2 linked regions of the Drosophila melanogaster genome follow. The protein of the gene in region 1 binds, or shares a complex with, the protein of each later gene. Each region holds a gene or a part of one and is shown on either strand. Other genes may lie near its edges. The genes, in order: Mon1 and Bulli. A codon is read from its position in the direction of its gene.

Region 1 (3,916 bases):
GGAGTATATAGTTGCGCACAAGGCGATGCTGACGGTGAAGCATGCAGAGCGCTGGGTGGAGCAGGACAAGAATGAAAAGGGCCAAGTGTTCGTGCGCAAGTCATCCAGCATCGGCTCGTGGGACATGTCCAAGGAGAGGCCGCCGAATGGTTTTGCGTCGATGCATGATTTCAAGAAGCAGCAAATGGATACGTTCTTCGGTCCCGGCCGTGCCATCAAAGGCGGTACGGATCTCTCCATCATTGGTACCTCAGCGCCGCCTCCGCCGCCACCTGACACCCCACCACAGATTACCAACTACTGGCCCTCTGGAAGTTCCAACAACACGGGGTCCAACTCCAATCCCTCGTATTTCAGCCACTACAGCAACAACTTTGTCAAGGGTGCCACTCTGCTGCCGCCCTAGAATAGCTATCCGAAACTAACCCAGGTCGTGGGTTTTCTTAAACACTATCAAATAGCATGGCACATGCACAAAGTTCTGCAATTTTGCAACCATATTTAGCAATTTCTTCTTCATCGTGGATTGACGGCCATTGGCATTTGTATTAAGATAAATGTAACAAAATCAACTTGACACTACTACTTGGCTATTACTTAGTTTTGCGACTGCGCCGCGGCTGGGATTCGTCCAGAGGCGGAAGGCCAAGGAGTTGGCGTCGTTCCCGCTTGCCACGCAGTATGGCTTCCTTGAAGAGGTTGCAATAGAGCTCCACTGCGGCCGGCGAGTCATCGTTGCCGGGCACCGGATAGGTGATCAGGTTGGGATTGCAATTGCTGTCCACTATGCCAATCGTTGGTATGGCCATTTTGGCGGCGTCCCGAACCGCCGTGTGCTGAGCCATAACGTTGTTTTGAGTGTTGAGGAAAATGCAAAGATCGGGCAGCCTGGTGACCGCATCGAATTGCACATTGGCATTGGTAAAGATGCCGCCGCGCCAAAAGCGAGTGTGCGAGAATTCACCGGCCTCCTGGGCCTTTCGCTCCACGAGATGTGAGTTCATGGCGTTGCGGTTGAAGAACAGAATGATGCCATCTCGGAAGGCAATGTGTGCGGCAAAGTTGAGGGCATCGCGCAGATGTGATGCCGTCTTGTCCAGATCGAAGATCAGATGACCTAATCGACTGCCGAACAAGTACGGACGCATTCGGTCGTCCAGGGAGCCCTCCTTGTGGCCATAGTGCACTCGGGCATTGAAGAGGTCGCGCACGGTGAACAGGTTGTGCACTTGGAAGTAGTCCGGATGCTTCAGAATCCGCTGTTCCACCAGGGCGATGTCCTCCGGTTCCGTTTCCACCGATTGCTCCGGCTGTGTGCTCTGCAGGCGTCGTGGCAGACCGCACATCTGACCAAAGCGGGGTACTACCAAGGGAAAGCATGTATAATTTGGTTTCCTTGATGTTTTAATTGATTACTTACGGTTGGCAAACGATTTTCTCAACATTTTGGAGCGGCTCGTGTTTTCATAACCTATGTTCTTCTTCTTTTCCGTCGATTTTGGTAAACAGCTGGTGGGTAGTGTTGGATAGAAGTGTTTCTATAAGAGGTCTTAAAACAAAAACAAAATAACAGATATAAAAATTTAATTATAATTATTAAGATAAAGTAATTCAAAATCCATATATCAAATTAACTTATTTTTCATAACATTTAAGAATGAATAAGCCTATCTTATGGTGTGTTTTCCGGAACACCCTTTATTTCACCTTCTGCTTCGGACAGTGTTGGGAAATCCATTCCAGCTGTAATGATTTAGTTGTAAATTTATGATATTGCTAAATATTGGCAAACTGCAATGTTCCAGCGACTGAAATAGTTAAACGAATTCGAAATGGAAGTAGAGCAGACGTCAGTCAGGTCGGACACGAACTCCACCTGCGAGTATCTAGACGCAGAGGGCGATCCGGAGTCCCCAAATCTCTATCAAGAGGCGGATCCCGACCAGGAGGCCGAGCAACAAAACCATAGTATTATCTCTGAGCTAAGAGATGGCCTGGGCACCATGCGAGATAACAGTGCCCTCAGTCCGGAGCCGGGGCAGGAGAACAAGGGACTGGCTGCCTCTGTGGAGTCTCTGGCATTGAGCACCTCGACCAGCGCCAAAACAGAGGACTCCATTGGCGGGGGACTGGAGGAGGAATACGATTACCAGCACGACAGTCTGTGGCAGGGCCAAAAGAAACACATCTTCATACTAAGCGAGGCGGGAAAGCCAATCTTCTCGCTACACGGCAATGAGGATAAACTGGCCACGCTTTTCGGTGTCATTCAGGCACTGGTAAGCTTCGTCCAAATGGGCCAGGATGCTATTACCTCCATTCATGCGGGCGGCATTAAGTTCGCTTTCATGCAACGCAGCTCGCTCATCCTGGTGGCTGCCAGCAGGAGCAACATGAGTGTGCAGCAGCTGCAGCTTCAACTGGGGTGAGTCAATTATAACGCACCTGATAGCAATGCTAACTAATGGGAACTTCCCATTCTTTACCAGGGATGTCTACAATCAAATATTGTCCATTCTGACGTATTCACACATGACGAAAATCTTTGAGAGGCGCAAGAACTTTGATCTGAGGAGACTGCTCTCCGGCAGCGAACGATTGTTCTACAATCTGTTGGCGAACGACAGTAGTAGTGCCAAGGGTAAGGATATCTAAGCATATCCAAATTGCTTAATTTCTCAACGACTTCTTTTAGTGTCCAACAACATCTTCACATTTTTGACCAACTCAATTCGCGTCTTCCCATTGCCCACAACGATACGATCGCAAATCACCAGCGCCATTCAGAGCAACTGCTCCAAGATCAAGAACCTGGTGTTTGCCGTGCTAATTGCCAATAACAAACTGATAGCATTGGTGCGCATGAAGAAGTACTCCATCCATCCGGCTGATTTGCGTCTGATCTTCAACCTGGTAGAGTGCTCCGAGTCCTTCAAGAGCTCCGAGAACTGGTCACCAATTTGCCTGCCCAAGTTCGACATGAATGGGTATCTGCATGCGCATGTCTCGTACCTGGCGGATGATTGCCAGGCCTGTTTGCTCCTGCTGTCCGTGGACAGAGATGCCTTTTTCACGCTGGCAGAGGCCAAGGCAAAGATCACGGAGAAGCTACGCAAAAGCCACTGCTTGGAAGCCATCAACGAGGAGCTGCAGCAGCCGTTCAATGCGAAACTCTACCAACAGGTTGTGGGAATCCCCGAGCTGCGGCACTTTCTTTACAAGCCCAAGAGCACAGCTCAACTGCTGTGTCCCATGCTCAGGCATCCGTACAAATCTCTGACGGAGCTGGAGCGCCTGGAGGCCATCTACTGCGACTTGCTGCATCGCATCCACAACAGTAGTCGCCCGCTGAAGCTTATCTACGAGATGAAGGAGCGCGAGGTGGTCCTGGCCTGGGCAACCGGAACCTACGAACTGTACGCCATATTCGAGCCGGTTGTGGACAAAGCCACTGTGATCAAGTACGTGGACAAGCTGATCAAGTGGATCGAGAAGGAGTACGACGTGTACTTTATACGAAACCATGCCACATTCTAAGCTTTAGCGCGCTTCGCTAGGGCATTGTGAGATATATGACTATTTTTTTATTGCTCCTCTGCCAATCGAACCAGGACAAAGTTGTTGTGCTGCAGTTGTGACGGCGTTTGTTTAACTGAACCTAGTATACCAGAATCACGCATGTACATTTGTAATTTAAAACTTTAAGTAAATTCTAAAACTTTATAGATAGTTTATCTCTTAGTGGATCTATAGAAAACTGAGTTCTGTCGAAAGGTTCGAGTCACCGCTAGCGCAGCATATCCTTTAAGTTCGGACTCAAACCAAACCGGTTATCTTCGGGGATGGACTTTCGAGAGCGAAAGGAATCGCAGAGAGAGCTTTTGCGGAATCAACAACTTAACGCGCGCACTCGCAT
Region 2 (3,916 bases), on another chromosome or scaffold:
GTAGTTTTTACGTTCGACGGTTGAGCGGTTTGATTTTGCAGCTCCAACTGGACCCAAGACCTAAAGTATACCATGCATAATGTAATAAATATATATTGATGAAAATAACGTCTTTAACTTACGCATAGATCTTGTTAATCCGACTGAAGATGGTCTCTAGGACTGGCAATAGAGTTCCCTTATACTGATCATCTACCAATTGTCCAATGACTTTTAATAGCATCTGCTTGCCATTGCTGCGTTGCAGCAGGAATTCTGTAAGTCGAATGCGATCCGAAATCAGTTGGCACAATGGTTCAATGCAGAGGTTCAAAAACCACATGCAACCCAACTTGGCATCGATTACAATATTTGGCTGGAACAGTACCCAGTGCGTGGAATCTGCATGGGTATAAGTGTCAAATAAAGTAACTTTTTGGATATTTAAAGAACTTACACAACTCGCACTGCAAGATTTGTCCATCAGGCGAAAGTGAGGGCAGTTTCAGGCCAAACGGTTTGATGGAGCGCCCTGGAGTTATGGGTGTATGATAGGTTATTTCATTGATCACCTCTCCGGGCAGGGAGATGTCGAATAGCAGCGAAGTGCCCGAAGCTTGATGGTGCACCACAATCAGATTATCCACCGTGTTGATGGCGAAGCGACCAAGCAGACTTAAGCGGAGCACATGGCACTTGCGTGGAGCCAAGCCCGGTCCATTGAGCAAGTGCACCTCGACTTCCATCAGTCCGGTGGTGCTATTTGACTGGAGGATAAGCACAGCCAGCACGCCGTAAACTTGGCCTAAGGTGACCTTGCTCTCCTGGACATCGCGACTTGGATTGCCCACTGAAAGGAAAGATTAAAACGCTTTTAAAGGATTTTAACCCAAAAGGATTACTTACAGTCCACTTTGGGCAGCTTGGTGATTACTTTCTGCTTGACCAGCACCGGAATCAGGGAGTTTCCTTCGCTGGTGCACAGTAGAGCCACATTGGCATCGCAGCACCAGGCGAACCACTTGATGCCAATGCTCAGGGATTTCACAGAGCGCACCTGTCGCTTCTCAGGAACTACGGTGTAGACCTCCACGCCGGTATTCGAAATCAGGGCCACCTCTCGATTGTGGACCCAAACAAAGCCATGGATCAGAGTCTTCACCTGGTGGGTAATGATGTCCTGCAGCAGAGGCTGATCTCCCTGAAAACATATGAACTCCACGGAATTCTCCTTTCGCTGAACGGCCAAGATTTGGTTGTCCGGCGAGAACTTAATGGACCTTATGGCACCGCCACGGTCGCTCATGCAAAAGGAGATGACGACATCGTCGGGAGATCCAGGACCTTTGACCACCACACCAGTAGCTCCTCCAGACCGAACAGCAAATATCTTTACAGATATAGATTTTTAGCCATCATCAACATGGATTTTTAACATGTTTTAACTATACCTGCTTGTTGGAGTCATCGAAAAACACATTGGTTAGTTGGCTGACAGCATCAAATCGTATGGGATTTGGGGTTAGCTCAATGTAGTGGATTCCATTGGAATTATCCATTGTTGTGCTGGAAAAAAATAAATAACAAACTGCAACAGCACAACTTTTTATACACCCCCCATTAGAGATGTGACTTTAGCACAGGGTGCTAGAGATGTGCCACGAGTAACAAGCTGTTTTAAGTCACGATTAATTTCATTTATTGTACGTGCAAGGATTAAAAATATAAATGTATTTAACATTATTTGTGGTATGCTTACAGTAGATATTTTTAAACATTTATACTATATTTATTTAACCCCTTCCAACTCACGCTATTATTTGCCATCACTATTGCTATCAGCGGTATTTTTGCCAGCCCTATCAGCTGTTTAGTATACAAACAACAGCGATAAGAAAAAACGGCAGACAGGACACAGAAAAATATTTTTTCTTGTGAATTTAAAAAAAGGTCTCAATAACTTTGATTCAACCACTTAATGGGACACCTGGACAAATGCCGCGTATGCTCCAGCGATGTGGCTAGAGACGACGAGGCCTACAATTTGCTGCACCATCCATATCTCGCCGTCAAATTTTCGGAGTGCACAAATTTGGTGGTGGATCCTGATGACCAGGATATTTTGCCCAGCGAAATTTGCTCGGAGTGCTACGAGCTTCTGGAGAAGTTCCACTCCTTCCGAGCACTTTGCATTATAGCCGACAATAAGTGGCGTTCTAAAAGTCTGGTAACTTGGAAGAAAATAGATCGCAGGAAACCTGTTTACGAGGTCGATGAAGATGAGGAAGAGGAGCTGGAGCTGGAAGAACTTCTATTGGAGCCGCCGGAGATGATTATATGTGATACCAATTTGAGTGCACAAAATACCCCAATAGTCGCTGAACAGGCACCGCCAACCTTGGTATTCCATACCTTCACCGAAAATGTCCAGCAACCCCCGGAAACGGAAAAGAAAGCTTTGGAAGTGAGTTTGGGTTTAAGGTTTAAACAGGAGTGTAAGTTAAGTTGTATTCAATGATTTCAGGAGCCGCCATTGACCACATACAAGTGCGACTTGTGCGCCGACGAGTTTCGAGAGGAGAAACGCTTGATTCTGCACAAGAAGGAACACCAGGGACACATGCTGTATCATTGCACTGAGCCCGGATGCGAGGAAGCTTTCAACCGATTCGAGAACCTCAGGCAGCACGAGCTAGAGCACTCGGAAGTGGGCATGCGGTTTGTCTGCGAGGAGGAGGGCTGCAACAGGATGTACCGGCACAAGGCCTCGCTGAAATACCACCAAAGCAAGGCTCACGACATTGGCAAGCCTTTGAAGACCCATATGTGCGAGTTCTGTGGTCGGGTGTTCAAGACTGGCTCTGCCCTAAGCCAGCATCGGTTCACACACGGTGACCAGCTGGTATTGCCATATGCCTGCGAACTGCCGGAATGTTCTATGCGATTCTATAGCACGGAGAAACTCAAGATCCACATGATGCGTCACCAGGGCATAAAGAACTTTAGTTGCCCCTACTGTGGTCTCAAGAAGACGACCAAAAACGAACTGCGACTGCATATCAACTATCATACTCTGGAAAGGACCTGGTCCTGCAAGGATTGCCCCAAAGTTTGCAACAGCTCAACGAGTCTTAAGAAACATATCCGCGCAATCCACGAGAAGGCACGAGATTATGCCTGCAGCTATTGCGAAAAGAAATTTGCCACCACCGACACGCGAAAATATCACGAAATGACCCACACTGGCGAAAAGAACTTTGAGTGTCACGTTTGCGGCAAGAAATTTATACAACCCTCTGCCTTGCGCACCCATCGCAAGGTCCACGAATCGGGGGATAATCAGCAGACCGCTTGTGCTCTGCTGCAACTGACTAGCATGGGTTAAAGAAGTTAACATATTTCTATTTTAGGTTCAGTGGAAAGTACAACATTCATATCGTATTTTACTTGACTCACAACTTAATTAATATTTACATACCTCCTTTATTGAGGGATTTATTACGATAACGAATTAGAAGAGCAGGGAAGAGGCAATTTTTAATAAACTAGTCTTAGTTTCTAATGGCACAAATACATGCCATTTTACCCTTAATAACGTTAACAAATCAGGAAGTTTAGGGTAAATGGCATTAATTAATAAGCTGTAGTTTTTCTATCTTATCAAGAAACTAATTAATATGACAACAACCCGCAATAACGACAATAAATCTTATGGTGTAGGGTATAAGTTAATGACAATAAATCAGAAGGTGGAAGGTACAAGTATATGACGATAACCCCAAATAATGTTAACAAAACAAGAAGAGATTATGAATGGAGACAATAACCCTTAATAACACTAATCAGGAAGTGTAGGGTAAAGTGAATTATTTTAAAGAAACTGCACTTTTAGTTTCTTACCATTTATGTATGTCAATTTACCCTTAACAACGAAAAT

Evidence for each region.
Region 2: the proteins of Mon1 (region 1) and Bulli are in contact, whole or in part, in a cryo-EM structure (PDB 8JBE), measured with the Drosophila melanogaster proteins. Residues at the interface, in NP_608868.1 of Drosophila melanogaster: Pro416 (codon at 3,196), Glu417 (codon at 3,199), Arg419 (codon at 3,205), His438 (codon at 3,262), Pro439 (codon at 3,265), Glu445 (codon at 3,283), Arg448 (codon at 3,292), Met473 (codon at 3,367), Lys474 (codon at 3,370), Glu475 (codon at 3,373), Arg476 (codon at 3,376), Glu494 (codon at 3,430), Pro495 (codon at 3,433), Val496 (codon at 3,436); in NP_648047.2 of Drosophila melanogaster: Ile561, Arg565, Lys568, Asp590, Leu592, His595, Ser596, Arg599, Phe600, Met603, Phe631, Pro632.

What each region holds. Positions count from the first base shown.
Region 1 is NT_033779.5:4,848,919-4,852,834, forward strand, and holds Mon1 (monensin sensitivity 1), read left to right. Parts: upstream 1-1,722; 5' UTR 1,723-1,832; coding exon 1,833-2,425; intron 2,426-2,489; coding exon 2,490-2,641; intron 2,642-2,695; coding exon 2,696-3,537; 3' UTR 3,538-3,722; downstream 3,723-3,916. Other genes in the region: CG11927 (uncharacterized protein), read left to right, coding at 1-406; mRpS2 (mitochondrial ribosomal protein S2), read right to left, coding at 594-1,363, 1,421-1,445. UniProt on the Drosophila melanogaster protein: Part of the Mon1-Ccz1 guanyl-nucleotide exchange factor complex specific for Rab7 that promotes the exchange of GDP to GTP, converting Rab7 from an inactive GDP-bound form into an active GTP-bound form.
Region 2 is NT_037436.4:6,486,383-6,490,298, reverse strand, and holds the start of Bulli (bulli), read right to left. Parts: upstream 1,619-3,916; 5' UTR 1,539-1,618; coding exon 1,431-1,538; intron 1,370-1,430; coding exon 886-1,369; intron 830-885; coding exon 437-829; intron 382-436; coding exon 123-381; intron 61-122; coding exon 1-60. Other genes in the region: CG10147 (uncharacterized protein), read left to right, coding at 1,958-2,443, 2,504-3,364. UniProt on the Drosophila melanogaster protein: Positive regulator of the Rab7 guanyl-nucleotide exchange activity of the Mon1-Ccz1 complex, possibly by enhancing its endosomal membrane association.